Arabidopsis thaliana: one gene and its partners. The protein of the gene in region 3 interacts with the protein of the main gene of each other region in a pairwise test. Each region holds a gene or a part of one and is shown on either strand. Other genes may lie near its edges.

What was found.
Region 1: the proteins of UBC16 (region 3) and AT2G37150 interact in a two-hybrid assay, tested with the Arabidopsis thaliana proteins (one large-scale study listed by BioGRID).
Region 2: the proteins of UBC16 (region 3) and LUL3 interact in a two-hybrid assay, tested with the Arabidopsis thaliana proteins (one large-scale study listed by BioGRID).

The regions. Positions count from the first base shown.
Region 1 is NC_003071.7:15,602,786-15,609,912, reverse strand, and holds AT2G37150 (RING/U-box superfamily protein), read left to right. Parts: upstream 1-2,312; coding exon 2,313-2,466; exon of another isoform or gene 2,467-3,704; coding exon of another isoform or gene 3,705-3,747; exon of another isoform or gene 3,748-3,919; coding exon 3,920-4,024; intron 4,025-4,158; coding exon 4,159-4,890; intron 4,891-4,965; coding exon 4,966-5,381; intron 5,382-5,571; coding exon 5,572-5,673; intron 5,674-5,750; coding exon 5,751-5,888; intron 5,889-6,012; coding exon 6,013-6,165; 3' UTR 6,166-6,332; downstream 6,333-7,127. Other genes in the region: AT2G37160 (Transducin/WD40 repeat-like superfamily protein), read right to left, coding at 1-86, 176-580, 684-866; AT2G37140 (Terpenoid synthases superfamily protein), read right to left, coding at 6,584-6,787, 6,931-7,050.
Region 2 is NC_003076.8:6,375,873-6,381,324, forward strand, and holds LUL3 (RING/U-box superfamily protein), read left to right. Parts: upstream 1-2,276; 5' UTR 2,277-2,527; coding exon 2,528-3,045; intron 3,046-3,547; coding exon 3,548-4,046; intron 4,047-4,295; coding exon 4,296-4,415; 3' UTR 4,416-4,733; downstream 4,734-5,452. Other genes in the region: AT5G19070 (SNARE associated Golgi protein family), read left to right, coding at 65-126, 315-369, 501-599, 725-811, 891-1,007, 1,101-1,193, 1,274-1,304, 1,396-1,598. UniProt on the Arabidopsis thaliana protein: Acts as an E3 ubiquitin-protein ligase, or as part of E3 complex, which accepts ubiquitin from specific E2 ubiquitin-conjugating enzymes and then transfers it to substrates (in vitro).
Region 3 is NC_003070.9:28,311,672-28,316,213, forward strand, and holds UBC16 (ubiquitin-conjugating enzyme 16), read left to right. Parts: upstream 1-1,707; 5' UTR 1,708-1,951; coding exon 1,952-1,981; intron 1,982-2,070; coding exon 2,071-2,174; intron 2,175-2,261; coding exon 2,262-2,364; intron 2,365-2,599; coding exon 2,600-2,663; exon of another isoform or gene 2,664-3,008; coding exon 3,009-3,097; exon of another isoform or gene 3,098-3,193; coding exon 3,194-3,289; 3' UTR 3,290-3,451; downstream 3,452-4,542. Other genes in the region: CKX5 (cytokinin oxidase 5), read right to left, coding at 3,577-3,937, 4,382-4,542. UniProt on the Arabidopsis thaliana protein: Accepts the ubiquitin from the E1 complex and catalyzes its covalent attachment to other proteins.

The DNA of each region.
Region 1 (7,127 bases), on a different chromosome or scaffold from region 3:
AGTAGATCATGTCCATCCTTAGCATCTGGATGAAATGCATGGCACATAGGGTTTGAATTGCTGATATGTATAGACTTTACTGGATCCTAAATCAAATAATTTCTCATAAATGTGACAAACAACCAGCAGATCAAATCAAATCTTAAGAAAACAAAACGAGTAGAGGTAAGATTACCTTGTCCTGCGAGTTCAAGTCACTAATAAAAATAGCATCACCAACATTGAAGACTAAGTAAGTTCCTTTCCCATCGAAATTTGTATTAGTAGCTGAGGTATTAGAACTAGAAGCAGCGAATGAGGCCCCAATCCTTGAACTTGCACCCACATTTTTAGCCCCTCCATTACCTCCAACAAAACTAAGCGCACGGTTACCATTCCCACCACCCAATAACCTTGCTGTTGCTGACCGGAAACCGCTACTAGCTGTGGAACTTGACGAGGTCCCAGTTGGTGTCGATGGAGCAGGTTTATCCTTAAGGTGAGCTAGAGTAACCTGACACCAAAATTTCACAAATCCATTCTCAGAAACCACTTTCAAAACATAAAAATGAAATGTGCATTTGATATTCTTACACAAAACCTAATAGCAATTTCGTAATAGCAATCACAAGTGCAAAGAAATCAGATTGGATTAAACTTTCAATTCAAAAATAAACACCAAAGAAAACGAATCAAATCTTCACCTGAGTAACGGTTTTGCCATGAGTGTAGTGAAGAAGCCCAGAGGGATGCGTCTTCTCGTAGTGGAGCTTGTACTTTCCTTCAGGCGTCTTGAAATACGTTTTGATTCCCGGAGACTGAGGATTCGCCGCCGAAGCTGACGAAGAAGAAGGCCCAGAGATCATCCCATTCGAAGTGTTCATCATATTTGCTCACTTGCTCTTTCTCTAATTCACAAGCTACTTAGAGCATCCGATCATGTCCCTCCCAAGCTAGGGTTTACCCTTCTCCCACTACACAAAATCCAAAAATCTTCTCTTCTTCAATGCAAATTTCTCTAAACTCTGTTCATCATCGTCGCCAAAATCAAAATGGAACTTTAATACTCCTGGATTCGCCAATGGCTACTGGATCAAAAAGATTAATACAATGTGGATTCCGATTCGCTTCCTTTATTGCTTTCTTAATCATCCTCTTAACTCATCAATCAAATTGACTATTAATGGATAAAATCAAAGTCATCTCGATCAACGGTCAAGATCCCTTTAATCTCTGAGTTTCTCGAACCCTTTTGATACGTACAGCTGAGGCCCAAGTACAGTCCAAAAATATAGGCCCATTACTGAAGAACCATAGTTAATTAATAAATTGTTTAGTCGACAATAAGACAGTGAACGGGTTTTACCGGTAGCCGGTGAAGTTGGTCAGAGAAGGGATTAATGTCCCGGCAACGTCGTAACTCAACCGCTTTAATTTGATTTTTCTTAAATATAAACCGATACTCTTCATCGCTCAACCATCACCAAAAAAGAAAGCAATTTGTCTTCAAAACATATTTCTCTCTCTAAAACCTCTTTTTCATAAAAGGTTGCGTCATCTATACGAATCCATACGTCTCTTTGCTTTTCTCCGATCGGTCTTCTTTTCTCATCGCCGGAACGCTTTGGTAATGTTTCTCATTTCTCCGATCATTATTGTTGTTTCGCCGTTGAGCTGATTATTTCGTGTTGGTATGTATAAACAAGCCGATCGTTGTTTCCTTTTTTCTCTTGTGATTGTGTGATGATGGATTGTTTCTTTTTTTCGGTTTAATCCGGTTTATTCCCGGTTTTGCTGCTACATCGGTGACTTTTCCCACAATCTTCGGGTATGATCGCGATCATGTCCGTTAACCGGAGTCGGTTCTGATAATTTCAGACTTCGAATTTGTTCTCTTTCACGTAGTTGTTAGCTTTTTAAGATTCCGATACTGAGAAGAGACCAGCTCGGTGATTAGAGGAGATGTTGTAAGCTTTGTGTTTTGGTTAGCTGTTGATAATGTTGTTCAGGCTGCTACTTCAGCGATGCGGGTAAGCTAGTTTGGGATATAGTGTATTAGCATAACCTAGGCTTAGCTGGTTTGTATCCTGCAGGCTGCAGGTTTAGTGGCAATGGTGGTTTCTAGTTCTATCATACCTTTCTCCACCACGAACCTCTGGTAGTTGAGAAACTGGAGAAAAGCCTAATCAGTGATTCAAGTGTTTGGAAGATTTGAGAACTAGTACGGCTATAGTTTCAGGTCAGAATTCATCTTCCTCTTTGAGAACTTTTAGAAACTTTGAAATTATGGCATCATTCTTAAAGAAATTGCATTGATAACACATTTCAAACAGATGTTAGTTCCTCATGTTAGCCCATTAGGATTGGTGGCTGGCCTATCCTTGATGTATTCTGATTTGCGGATTGTGTTGTGGACCTTCTTGGTTGATTGGGAAAGCAAAGCGAACTTGAACTCAAGTCATCTAGAAGTTATTCTGATCCATAGGGGTAAGGAAATAACCATAACTAGTCTCTGCCATCACATGTGTACCAGAGTGTGTTTAGTCAGTTGAAGATGCTTGAGGTACGGTATCCATGAGTGGGGAACTTCAATCTTCCTAACAAACTACATCTATCATATAATGGTTTCTAGAGTGACATGCTGTCACGTACAAGCATTTGATTTGGATGCACAATGATGTGAAACATAATGCTAATTTTAAGAAAGCATCCTTTCACACAAGCCCGAATTCAGGAGTCTATTAAGGTGTGCTGGTGGGTTTGAAGACAATAAGAGCGCAGAAATAGTAAATGAGGTAGTAAGCCTTTGCAGGCTAGTACTTTTGTGGACTAAATCCGTTTATCTAAGGAAACTGTAGTGTATTCAATTTGTGGATCAGAGGAGAAGGAATAGAATTTGGTGTTCTCATTGTATTAGTGAAGTCAAGGGCCTAATTGCTTCCTGTTGGTCTACTTTAAAGGTGTGCAGAAATGATGAATCAGTGATCAATCAAGCACGACGGCTTTATCACTTGGGTAGTGTAGTGTATTCGTGGTTAGGACTTTCTAAACCTATATCCTTCTAGGATTATTTGCCTGCAGGTGCACTTTTGAGGGTTTCGGTTCAGAAAAATATTTTAAGCTTAAGTCCTGCTATTGGATTTTCCATGTAATTTTCTTGCTCATGTCATCTATGGTTGTAAGTTTAGTGAAATACATGTACAAGGCCTTTACTTGAATATAAACGAAGAAGTAGTACATTGATAGAAACTGAAAAGATGATATCAAGTGTTACCTATTTTGCATGAACTTGCTCTGATGCTCTTTTATGCGGATACAGTATATGATAATTTGCCATCGTGCCTTATTCTTTCATCCTCTTCTATTTCCTAATCAGTTTCCTATAGACTTTTCTGTAAATTCTATAGACTTTTTGAAAGTGTGTAATTTGATGAACTCCTTGTATTACTCTTCACTTTTGATGGCTCTGGTTTGGAGAGTCGAGAACCTTAGTGATACTTTAAATGCAAAGGCTTCTTAGTTTCCCAACCGTGCTTGTTTTCTGCCTCTCTTTTCTTTTGGTTTAAAAGAAGTATGTCTGTTGTTATTGACAAACTCTTCTATGTAAGTTTTTCTTATGAACTAAAAGATCTGTACTATTAAGGTTTATTTTTCATGTATAAGCATCATGAACTTTCCTGCAGCACAGAGCCTAAGTCCACAAAAACTTGTTTGCTTATGATATCATGAGATCTGAGGTATATAATATGGTAGGTACATGTTACAAAGGTAATGGTACTAGAGCTTGAAACTATGGACTGATTTCTTATATATTTACTTGGGAAATTTGGCTATCAGACTGAAAGTAAACTATGTTGGTTGGAAATTATAGATTTTTTTTTTTTCTGAGCTTGCGGATGTTTTCCTGGGATTTTGAATGGTGAGAGAAATTTTTGTGCAGGTTTAATGGGGCACAGACATTTTCTTGGTTCATCCCAGTTTTTTGATGATGAACATGATCAAGGCTGGAATCATACACACCCAGAACATCCATATTCGAGTCAAGGTAATTAGTCCTTCATTCTATAGTTCCTTAATCTGTTTTTTATTTATTGAAATTTGGTTGATGATGCATGTTTAGTTTTAGGGTAATATGTTCCATATTTCTGATTAATTATTGTCCATCCCACATTTTCTCAGCAACATCTGGGACCAGTGAGAACAGATCACATGTTTATCCAGCAGAAAACATGTTGAATGAAGGAATGCCAGTGTCTTCTCATTGGAACTCTTCTCCAGGACCAAATGCTTATACTGACTCAGGTCATAGTGTGGAGAGACCACACTACAATCCGGGGGTTTCGGGGCCGTCCCATGATCCTTCCGTGAATTCAACAGTTCCAACTTTCTCTGCTCCACATGAGAATTATGTGACATTTGCATCTTCTTCAAGCTACAACAGCCAGACATGGTCAAATGCTAGTTATGTTGATCATCAATCTATGGAAAGTGTGAGAGGAGCACAAAAGAGAAAACGACCATGTCCTTCTTCCATCTATGAAATGGGTAGTTCAAGCCAATATCACGGTGACAGAACTCCTGCAGACACTCATTTCCCCTCGGAATTGCACTTGGGAAAATCAATAACGCATGATCATGACCCTCATTACATGCCATGGCTTATGAACCCAACTTACAGAAGTAATAATCTCTCGATCAGGGGAGAGAGCTCTTCAAGGAATGTCCGGAGTCGTCCTACACTTGATTCAGAGACCAGCTTAGGTAGAAATAATTTGCCAAGAAGCTTGAGCCTTGATTCTCATTCTACACACCACCACAGTGTTGATCATTATGGCTCAGGTCAATTTCCTGGTCAGACATCTCACGGAAATAAAGACTGGAACTGTGCTAGATTGTCCCCAGTTCTTAGAGGTATGCAAAGTTCACTTTGTCTCGATATCTGAATCGTCTTTGTTTCTAATAATCACATTAATTCCCACTTTGCAGATATAAATGGCTTTAGTCCAGAGACAAATAATTTCCTTCCTGCAAGAAGTGTTGTCAACAGCTTATCTGTTAATACTTCCGGCTATCATCACCATGAGCTTACCGGAAACAGAAACCCTACAGTTTCCCACGGGGTTCCTGGAACTTCAACACTATCTACAAGCAGCAGCCGCTTCTCTCATAGGTCAACATCCACCTATAGATCTTCTTCACACGGTTCGCGATCGGGACATGTAGCATCTTCTTCTGGAGACAGGTCTCATTTGGTCACTGAGACTTATCCGTCTAGGCATTTAAGGCCACCACCACACATTTCATGGCGTAGCGGTGATCGGCCAGGGAGACGCAGAAGTTCCTATGAGAGGTTTCAGCCTCCTTTCGATGAAGTTGCTCTCCACGAACGGTTTTCATCTGAGGTATATATTTCCCTTACAGATGCATTATTTAGAGTGGAAGTCTGTCTAAATTACATTTAGTATTAAGATAAAGATCAAGCCGATATGATACAGTGCATATCGAATATTAAGATATAGATTTGCAATCTTATCATTTTCTGCTGCATGCTGAACTGTAATCTGTTATTTTTTGGGGTGTATGTAATAATAGGAATTCATGGTTGAAGATCGCCAACCACAATACTACGGATCCAGAAACATGCTTGATCACCACAGAGACATGAGGCTTGACATCGATAACATGAGCTATGAGGTTAATAGCCAAACACTTATCTTTTGAAGCCTCACATAGGCAAAACGAAAAGTTTTGGTACTGACATATATATGCAGGAACTCCTTGATCTTGGAGAAAGGATTGGGAGTGTCAACACTGGTCTATCCGACAGCGCAATCTCCAGTTGCTTGTTAGCAACAATGTATTATCCATCATATCAAACAGAGGAGCAAAGAAAATGTGCAATCTGCCTGGTAAGATTTAGTTTTTTTTTTTTTTTTCACAACCTGGTAAGATTTAGTTGTCTGAAACATTATGTGTCTATAAAGTTAGAAGTAGGCTAACTTAAGGGTGATGTGGTAATTGGTAAACAAATAGGAGGAGTACAAGGAAAAAGAAGAGTTAGGGGAAGTTAAGGGGTGTGGTCATGACTACCATGGGAGGTGCATCAAGAAATGGTTGTCTATGAAGAACTCTTGCCCTATTTGCAAATCCCCTGCTTTACCTGATGCTTCTAAGAACTCATCATAAATTATAGGTTATCTTTTATGTGTGCATGTTATATTCATTTGTCTTTCGAAAGGAAGAAAAATATGTGACAGAATATAACATTAAGTTTTCTTAGTGATTAATAGTTGTAAATAGAAGAAAGTCCAGGATCTTTCTCAAGGGTTAATATATATGTTAATTATTGGAAAAGGCTCTCTTTGGAAAATCTGGATTTGTTACAGATGCAAATAGTTACACAACACTTCACACTATATGGTATTTCATCTTCAAAGAGAAATAAGATTGACAAATAAAGAGATGATATAGTCCTTGAATTTTCCTTGTGGATGGGTGAATTCTTCACCGGTCCTGTAGGTCACATCTATCATTTTTCCAGCATTAGTGGCCCGTGATAAGATATCGCCTGATATTATCTTCCTTGACTTCAAGTACACTTCGTTCACTGACTTGGCCGTCTGGATTTAAGCCACTCATAACTTTTTCTTCTAGCAGTTTGTACCAACCCAAGAAAACTGCATGAAACAGTTACATACATTGACACCTCAACACCACCAATCTCCAAGTACTCATCGAATGTAGGCACGATGTCTCCTTGTGCCCACTCTGCATAGCTAAGGTTGGCCTTTGAGTATAGTTTGAACTGCTTAATGTTTAGGAGCATATATACAAAAAGATGTTATGTCTATGATAATCTCTTTATGTCGACCGTTATTAGTGAGGTACTAGCTAAGATACTATTACTCATCAATTACATCTTGTAGACTAGCTAAGATAGTTCTTTTTTGCTCTATTCGAAAACATCCCAAGCAAGCTTGAAAAGACGGTTTTCATCATATAATCTGGTAGTATGTATATGCCATTTGGATCCCATCTACGCATACATAGAATCAGCTTTAATATTATCATAGGTATGTATTACTCTTGAAAACACACAAAATATCAGATAGCAATTTACCTTTCAACGCAATGAACAAGAGTTGAAA
Region 2 (5,452 bases), on a different chromosome or scaffold from region 3:
TGATTTGTAGTATTAGCTAGTTTATGATCTGAAACTTACTAATTTCCTTTGTATTATTTTTCAGCTATTGAAGGATTTTTTGTTATGGGTTGAACAAGATCTAGGGCCTTGGGGACCTTTTGCCCTGTAAGTCTCTTTTCTTCTTGTTTCTTGAGCTATGGAGCTAGTTAGATTCTTGCGTGAGTAATATAGCAATGAGCTACACTAACGGTGGTAGCTGAATCACTGTTTCATTGCTAATGTTAATCCATAGATATAGGAACATGAGATTACCTTGGTACTGAACTTCTCTTTTTTTTTTGCGATGTCTGCAGAGCTGTTGCGTACATTCCTCTAACAGTTTTGGCTGTTCCTGCCTCGGTTCTCACGGTATATATACATATTTCTTTTGTGTGTGATATATTTACCGCTATCATCCACTCTCAACTTTCTTTGTTAGAGTGACTGGTTTATCTATAAAATTGAGAAATCTTATTTGGTTGAAGCTGTGATATATTCAGCTCGGTGGTGGCTACCTTTTTGGGCTGCCAATTGGTTTTGTGGCGGACTCAGTCGGTGCTACACTTGGCTCAGGAGCTGCATTTCTACTAGGCCGTACGGTAAGCCACTCAAATTCTTATTGATTTGCAGACACAACCATTAGATTAATGAAGTGACATGCATAAACCACTGACGCTATCCTTTTTTGATATTTTGGTACTTACATGAAAATGCTCTTATGCAGATTGGAAAACCTTTTGTAGTTGCAAAATTAAAGGATTATCCTCAGTTTCAATCAGTGGCACTCGCGATAGAGAAATCCGGCTTCAAGGTTTGCACTGAGAACCCATTACAAGTTTTGTGCTGACACTCTTCTTTTGAAACTTATGAATATGCAAAACTGAATATAGATATGCTTGTTGCTCCGGCTTGCTCCTCTTCTTCCGTTCAGCATGTTGAACTACCTCTTATCTGTCACGCCAATTCGGCTAGGTCCATACTTGCTTTCTTCGTGGTTAGGGATGATGGTAATCTATTCTAATCCACCACTTCATAACGACTGCAAAATGTTTAAATTGTAAGATGGAAATAATACAGCTTGATACATTGTTAATTTGCAGCCAATAACACTTGCGTTAGTGTATGTTGGAACAACTCTAAAAGACCTTTCTGATGTAACTCACAAGTGGAGCGAGTTCTCGCCAGGTCGCTGGGTAAGATCTACACAAATTTTAATTACATTCTCAGCTTCTTGTTTCAATCTCTATTCTGACCTGTTTTCCGCAATCTGCAGGCGTTCTTGATTTCGAGCCTTGTAATATCCGGTTAGTTCGGCATAACTAATGTTACTAGTTCCTTCGATTGCGGCAGAATCACTAATGTTACAAGTTCCTTCTTCTATCTGTTTCTTTGCAGTGATATTAATGGTGTGTGTTACAAAGGTGGCGAAGGACGCTCTAAGAAAAGCTTTAGCAGAGCACGGAGGAGACATGAACGAAGCGGTTGCAGCCTTGCCGGAGCTGACCGTTACTGATGATGCTTCGACGGATTTAAATGAGCCTCTCTTGATAAAGATAGATGCACAACAACCTCAAGACCAAGTAAACCATAGTCATTAAAATTAAGATGATGAATACTTACTTTGTATAATCTTTATTTTAACATACAAAGCTTAGTTTTCTTGGTTTGTATAATAATAACATAGATTAAAAATTATTTTTAAAAAGTTATTTTTCTTAGTAACTTTGAGATGTAATTATTAGTTCACAGAGATTTAAAATATTGGATGAATAAAAAGAAACTAAATGGATTTTGGTTTGAGTTTCTAATTGCTCCAGCTAATCAGATATTTTGTTGACATTCACAAGCATTCTAAACATATCTATGACCTAAAAATGTTACAGGTATCTTAAAAATCTCCTAAACCAATATTCAATGAAGATTGTTGAATACGACTAAAGGTATATTTATTATACACAGAATCTGTTATGCATAAATTGAACCCATCAATTGAATATATGGGTATATTCATAACCAAAATTAGCTTTTATGATATTGGCTCAACTATTTTGGACTATTTAAAATCTCATCTTAATAACATAATTGGAAGAAAACCAAAATTAAGATGAAAACTTGTAAACTTTTATAAATGATCTGAATATAATTTACTAACATAATATTCAAAGTTAAGAACTTGTTGATATATGTGGTCAACTATAAAACACCACGTTTGAAATTCATAAGGTATTAGTTGATTTTTCATAGTTTTTCTCTATCAATAATGCTATTCGAAAAACGTCATGTATGTGTGTTTTCTAGATTTGAACAAGAAGAAACGGTCTTGTCTCTTTCGTTAGACGGTCATGTCTTCGGGAACATCCGATTAAAAAAAAAGTTACACGCGTTGACTTTTATTACAAAAATTGCAGTAAATCTGGCAGTAACTGCGTAAAGTAAAAATAATGTAAATAATAATCTTCACCGGAAGACAAATCTTTTGATCTGACTTTCGTCTCTCTGTCTCTCTTGTCTCGTTTCTTCAGAGGCTATGGGGATCTCCTTAAGCAAGCGTCGACGAGACAACAACAACAACCACCACCATCCCCACCACAATCCGCCGTACTATTACTCCGATCCTCCACCACAACAACCGCCGCCTCAAAACGGGTATAGCTACTCTCACAATTACCCCGTTTCAACTCCACAGCTCTCTCTTCCTCCACCACCGGCTCAGCCACCGTCTTCTTCTCAGCCTCCTCCGTCGCAGATTAGTTACCGACCGTACGGTCAAAACTACCATCAAAACCAATACTACCCGCAACAAGCTCCTCCGTATTTCACCGGTTATCATCACAATGGGTTTAATCCGATGATGAGGCCGGTTTATTTCGGTCCGACTCCGGTTGCGGTTATGGAACCGCCTGCACCTTATGTGGAGCATCAGACCGCTAAGAAGGTTAAGAACGATGTCAATGTGAATAAAGCTACGGTGAGGCTCGTAGCTGACGATCTTAACCCTGGTCATTATCTTGTTTCCTTCGTCTTCGATGCCTTATTCGATGGCAGGTATAACTTCTTCACTCCAAAATTTGAGTCAAGTTTCCGACTTTAGAACCAGAATTTGAATGAGATTGGCTAATTAGCGTAGAGGGGTCTTGTAGATTATACTGAATCTCAAATTTGGATCGTAAAGGTTCAAACTTTACATGATATGACTCATTTATTCAGTGAAAGTTAGGGTTTTTGCTGGGACGAGATTGATTAAAAGGAAACATCTTTACTCATGTTTCAGTTCTGAATTATGTGTTGCCACAATTTGGGATGAAAAAGGTTAAAATTTGACATGATCTAGGTGATGAATATGTGATTGGTTCAGAAACCAAACAATACAGGCTTCAGTTACATAACTGATTGATTTTAGGAGTTATTGTAGTTCATTTAATGGTTCGGAACTACTAAGCTAGTTAGCAACTGAATCAACCTTATTACTCTCCTGTGTTGCATACCAAGTTTAGGTATTAAGATTATCTGACGAGGAGTCTCATTATGTTACTTGTCTCATTTTCAGTTTCACTATCATATTTTTTGGAGAAGAGGAATCAAAGTGCACAATCGTCCCTCATTTACCAGAAGCTTTCCCACCAATCAAAGTCCCTTTCCAAAAAGGTGCCGGGCAGAAGTTTCTACAAGCTCCAGGGACAGGAATCGACCTAGGCTTCTTTTCACTGGATGATCTATCGAAACCATCACCAGAAGAGGTGTACCCACTTGTAATATCAGCCGAGACAGTAATATCACCAAGCTCGGTTTCAGAGGAACCATTAGTTCATAAGCAGATCACTCAAGCGGTTTTGGAGAAGACTAATGATGGATCTTTCAAAGTGAAAGTCATGAAACAGATTCTATGGATTGAAGGAGAACGATATGAACTACAAGAGTTGTATGGAATCGATAATTCAATCACACAAGGTACTGCTGCATCGGGGTTAGAGGATACTGGTGGCAAAGAATGTGTCATTTGCTTGACTGAACCTAAGGACACAGCCGTCATGCCTTGTAGACATTTGGTACAAACTTCTAGCAATTCTCTTTGCTTTCTTCAATTCTTCTAAACGCAATTTTTTTCATTTACTCGGTAAACCTATAAATCGTTGGTAGCGTTTCAGTTATGGAACAAGCAAATTCTGTCATTTTAGACTTGCTTCATATTGCTGTTGATTGTCTCTAAAGCAAATCTACATCAAGTCTTTCACAAGACCATAACTTTTTGGTTGAATTGTCATCAAGACTAAATCATGTTGTGTTGTCTGTTGCAGTGTTTGTGCAGTGATTGCGCAGAAGAACTGAGGTTTCAGACAAACAAATGTCCCATTTGTAGACAACCTATCCATGAGCTTGTAAAGATTAAAGTGGAAAGTAGTGATGAACAACACTGAAAAAGAGGTTTCTTCCCTTCACTTAAACACCATGTTTGATTCTTTCTTCTTCTTCTTTTTGAAAACCGTCAAATCGAATTCTTTTGCCCTTTTTTCTTATACAAATGTGTTTTCTCATGTCATACTCTTGCACATATTTGTTGGTCTTAGTTTTGGGAAACTCAAAGAAAAAAAAGTCAGTAATGTATATATAGCTCCAATGGTTCTTGAGAAACTTTCTCTTTGTATCTTTCTACTTGAAACACTCATTCTGTAACTGAATACTTTTTGGTTTGGGCATTGCTCAAATATAACTTGCAATCATATGTTGTTTATCGTAACGTTTCGGGTTTATAATCTAGAAACCGAACCTCCTAGTAACCACAATTCTATATCAAAAATAGACAGGAAAAATCTGCAAGAGTCTTGGATAGCTCTATGTGTCCCTAATTTGGCTTTCTTTTAACTCTTTCTTTTTGAGAAAGTAAAAGTTTGTGTAGATGAGAAAATGGGGACCTTGATAATTACAAAGATTCAAAAGAAAATAAAGAGAGATGGGAACTGAAGTTGATGAGAACATTCAAAGAAGTAATCTTTTTTTCTTCTCTCCTTTTTGCTTTTTGTCTGTAAAAAAGGCTCAAATAAAAGGAAAAGCTGGTAGGAGATGGAGAATGTTTCCTATTGAAGTTAAGCCTGAGAAAGAAAAAAGTTTTAAAAAAAAAGTGAAGCTTGAGTTCATTCTTTTTGACAGAATGCTCAAACTTTTGAAATGAGGAATAAAAAAAAGTCTTTGTTTGATAGTAGTGAAGTGACTCTCTTTACAAGCAATATTATTTCTCCATACACATTATGATTCCATGTGGTATCATATCTATGAACTATGAAACCCCTAGGGTCTATGTGTGATTGTCTTTGTCTTGTTTTGGACTATATAATGAATTTGAAGTGATACTTTTCCCTTTCTGCCTATGACAATGTTTACTAGTCATACCATGATGTTTAATCAAAATTCCTTACCGAATCTCGGCATTGATCACCTATTTCTATGTATGTGTCAC
Region 3 (4,542 bases):
TTGTTATTCTAGATGAAAACTCATCCTACGCATGGGTTTTTGTTTTTAAAATTGTCGGAATATATGATTATGATCTTTTGTTGATTTTGATGTTCATTTTTGTGTGTGTGTTAATGTGTAAGTAATAAAGTCATATCTATTTTATAGAATTATAATTTTTTATAATTAAATTTATCTATAATTCGAAATATCAATTTTACTATAATATAAATATTTATAGACCTATTCTTCAAATATTTCACTATCATAAATACATACAACAAAATTATATGATATATTAATATATAGTTATATTACTTATGTATTTTAAAACTTGCCTAATTTAATTGTAACAAACAATTCTTTATTCCATATATTCTCTCGTTATCTAGTACACTAACCACACCATGATATGCTAGTAATTCAAGTCAACACTTTAATTCTCGTCCCTTGAATATAGCCATATAGAGTCTCGTATTTTTTGTGTGGATATGTCTAATGTCTCGGATGAACATTACGTGAAAAATGTATATCAGTGTTACCAAGTTATCAGAATGCACAAAAAGAAACAGAAAGAAGGTCATATGATAAATCATATTCATATAACGTAATAATAAAAAAATATCCAACTAAAATTACTATTTAATATGAGGTTAGGTAGCAAACATTTAAACTACAACACAAAGTAGATTTTAGCTATTATAAATTGATAACTATTGATAAAAATATTTTTAAAAATAAGTAGAATAAAATGAAAGTAGTATTTGATATATTATTATAATTTTTTATTTATTGAATGTTTTAAGAAAATTTATTTAAAAGAGAGATTATAGAGAATTTAATGCAACAAAAGACTTTTGATTTTTCCTCAATTAATTCTATTAATTTTTTTTAATTAATATAGAATGACACATGTTATTTTCTTATGTGATGATGTGTCACTCCTAGGGAGAGAGTTGGCCAACTTTTATATATATGATTTTCATGATTGCTATTATTTATTGGAATTTCAGAGATTTTTGTCTGCTACTGAACTCAGAATAATAAAGGCAAAGGAGCATGAAAACTTTAAAGAGTATTATGTGTATATATTCGTTGATAGTAGCTGCTAATTAGGACAACTCGTAGATGTTGAAAAGACACTGCAAAGATCTTGAGGACATTGCTTTGGCTTTTTTAGTCTTACATATCAACTTGCTATAACACATCCAATGGGCCTTCGAGTCTTCGACTTTTGACCTATCCGTAGCTTCTATTTATTTTATTCAACTAGTACTACATATAATTTTTGATCGTTTATTATGTAGTCAACAAATAGTTTTCATAAAATGAGAAAAAAAAGCAGAAAGATATAGTTTTCATTACCATAATTTATAGAATTCTGTAACCAAAATTTCTAGACTTAAGTCCATAACTTCCTCGAATTAGGCACAACACAAGAACAAGTTAATTTAGTTCTTTTTCTTTCCATGCTTGAGTTTGGTATTTTTCGACTATCTTTCTGTCGGATGAACTATCGAAAAACCTTATTTTTTTAATGTTCTGTTGTTACCGAATATATAAATCATTTTGTGATAAGATTTTTATATAAATAATTTGGGTTAGTGGTTGGTTGATTCATAATTAGTTAAGCCGAAAATGAAAATGGTAACACACAAAATATTGAAAGTTACAATTATACCCCTGGACCGTTTCACGCAGCAAAATCCAGCAATCCTGGCTGCTTCCCTGACACAAATACACGAAAGTACGAAACGGTCGTGGATCTAAAAAGCACAAAACAGTACACGTGGCATGATCTTTACCGTCCCTAGATACCACCTTCCAATCTGAATATCATCTGATCATTAAGATCTCATCAATCTGAAAGGTCCCACAAATCTGAACCCTTCGATTTTCGATTCTTCCTCGAGCCTTCCTTCCTTCCTTCTTCTTCTCCAAGAGGATTTTGATTGTCTCCTTTACTCTCTCCATGTCAAGTTCTGGTGCTCCTTCACGCAAGGTTCTCTCTCTCACTTGCTCTGTTTATTTAACTTTGGTTTTGGAATTAGGGTTTTTGACTATATTTTGGGAAACTGTGTGTGTATGTAGACTCTGAGTAAGATCGCGACTAATCGTCTTCAGAAAGAGCTTGTGGAATGGCAGATGAATCCACCTACTGGTTTCAAACACAAAGTCACTGATAATCTCCAAAGGTAAATTATGAATTAGGTTTACTTTATTCTTGTTGAGAATCATATAAGATTTAGAAATTTTGTGATGTCAAATTCAATGGTTTGCAGATGGATAATTGAAGTTATTGGAGCTCCAGGAACTCTATATGCCAACGATACTTATCAGCTTCAAGTTGATTTTCCAGAACATTATCCTATGGAATCGCCACAAGTGAGTGTTCTGAATTCTGAAATTGTAACCTGAGTACTTAATTTAGATCAATCATAGAATCTCTGATCTTTATCAAGTTTGGTCTCTGTTTTATTGTTGATTGTCTTGATCTTTACCGAGTTTGGTCTCTGCCTTGTCATGGAATGTTTTGATCTGTCTCGAGTTGACTTGAGTTCTCTGTTCTTTACTTCTTGTTTGCGTTTGTAATGTTTTTTTTTTTTTAAATATTGTACAGGTGATTTTTCTTCATCCAGCTCCTCTGCATCCTCACATTTACAGCAATGGGCATATTTGTCTAGGTATGTCACTGTGTCCTCTGTTTTCTGATACCTTCTTACTCTTTTGTTGGTTATTATCTATCACTTTCTTTACTTGCTGGTCATACTATGTGGTCCGAATGATAAACACACAACTCCTATATTGTATGATCTCTAATATATTAATAATCACAATGTGAGAGGTAACATAAGTCGTTTGTATACCTAAACTCATTTGAAGTCTTACCCGAAGATAAGACCCTCTTCGAAACTCATATTGCTTGAGATTTTGCTTTTAGATCCAAGGGTACACTCAAATTTCAGTAGCTTATTATTTAACATAGGCCTCCTGGAAGAAGTATCTGATGTTGTGTATCATCGTTGCAGATATTTTGTATGATTCGTGGTCTCCAGCCATGACGGTGAGTTCTATCTGCATTAGCATCCTCTCCATGCTCTCAAGCTCGACTGAAAAGGTACTTACAGCTCTTACACTCACCATTAATATATAAACTTTGATCTCTTTGTTGCTGAAGCTGAACCTTCGTCTCGCTTGGCTTGTTTTGTTGCAGCAACGACCAACCGATAATGACCGATATGTGAAGAATTGTAAGAACGGAAGATCTCCAAAGGAGACCCGATGGTGGTTCCACGACGATAAAGTATAAACCTCGATCAACCAAAAAAAATGTAAAATAGTCCAAAACAGTCTTTGAGGTTTGTTGTCTATTTTTAATTTAATTGGGTTTAAGCTGTCCCAAACCCATTTCCAAAATCCGTGATGTATAAAAACAACACAATAAATTTGACTAATTTTGAATCTTCTACTCTAATTTTAAAACCCCTACTAACAAAAGACCCAACCTAATCTCTCTGATGCTTCTCTATTAGGTCATATATATACATCAGGAAGAATATTTCTCAACTACTACTTTCCTCTTGGTTTTGTCCTGTGTCACCATGAAGCCGCTGACGAAGAAGACGACGACGGAGGAAACAAAGACAAAGATGGGTTTTGAAAGATTCTCTGACCAGTAGCGAGTATGTGTCGCGGATCAAACTCAGCCTTTAAGCTTCTGAACCGATCCCACTTGTCCCCAAAATGAGCCACCCACTCTTCCTGTGTTGCGTGGTGAGGAAGATACTGCTTCACATTGATCTTGGCTTGTTCACAGAACTCCAAGATCCGACGGTTCTGATCTTTCAGATACTCTAGCTTCTGTGTCTCTTCACCGTCCGTTAAAGCTGATCTCAATAGAGCCACCAGATAGAAAACTTCCTCATCCGGCGTCACGGCTGAGCTCCTCTCGTCCCATCTGACAATAACATCAAATTACGACACGTCAGCAACGACAATATCTATATTAATGTAATAATCAATGATGTGCGGAGGGTTCGTTGAGATCGGTTTGGTCTAGGAGAATCTGATTGGGACCCACCCACCATGAGTTCTAGGAACTTAAAAACAAATAAACCCAATCTGGACCATCGGATTTGGTCACAAAACAAAAAGAGAAATACGAGCCGACGAAGTGTTGTTGTCAATCTTAGCTGGTTCGATGCACATGTGGACAACGTTTTTCGGACAATCCCATGTACCACGTGTCTAGTTTTTTTCAATTTTGACAAACTTTTTTTCTTGGACCACTAATTAATCCCCACAAGTGTAACTTTGCATGCATGCAATGCAAAACTCGTTTTATTCTTTTTTCTAGAGAAGAAATTTAGAAGTAGTAATCAATGGTAATGTCAAGACTTACTTGTCTTTGTTCATGGGGTAGATAAGAATAGGGCCACTTGTTTTATTTCCCAAAATGCCCTTGAAAACGCCTTTATCGAAGTCAGAGATTCTTGATTTTGGCACGAAGAGGTTGAGCCATGGGTGTGGAACCTCCCATAAATTCTTGGACCGGAGCTTCAA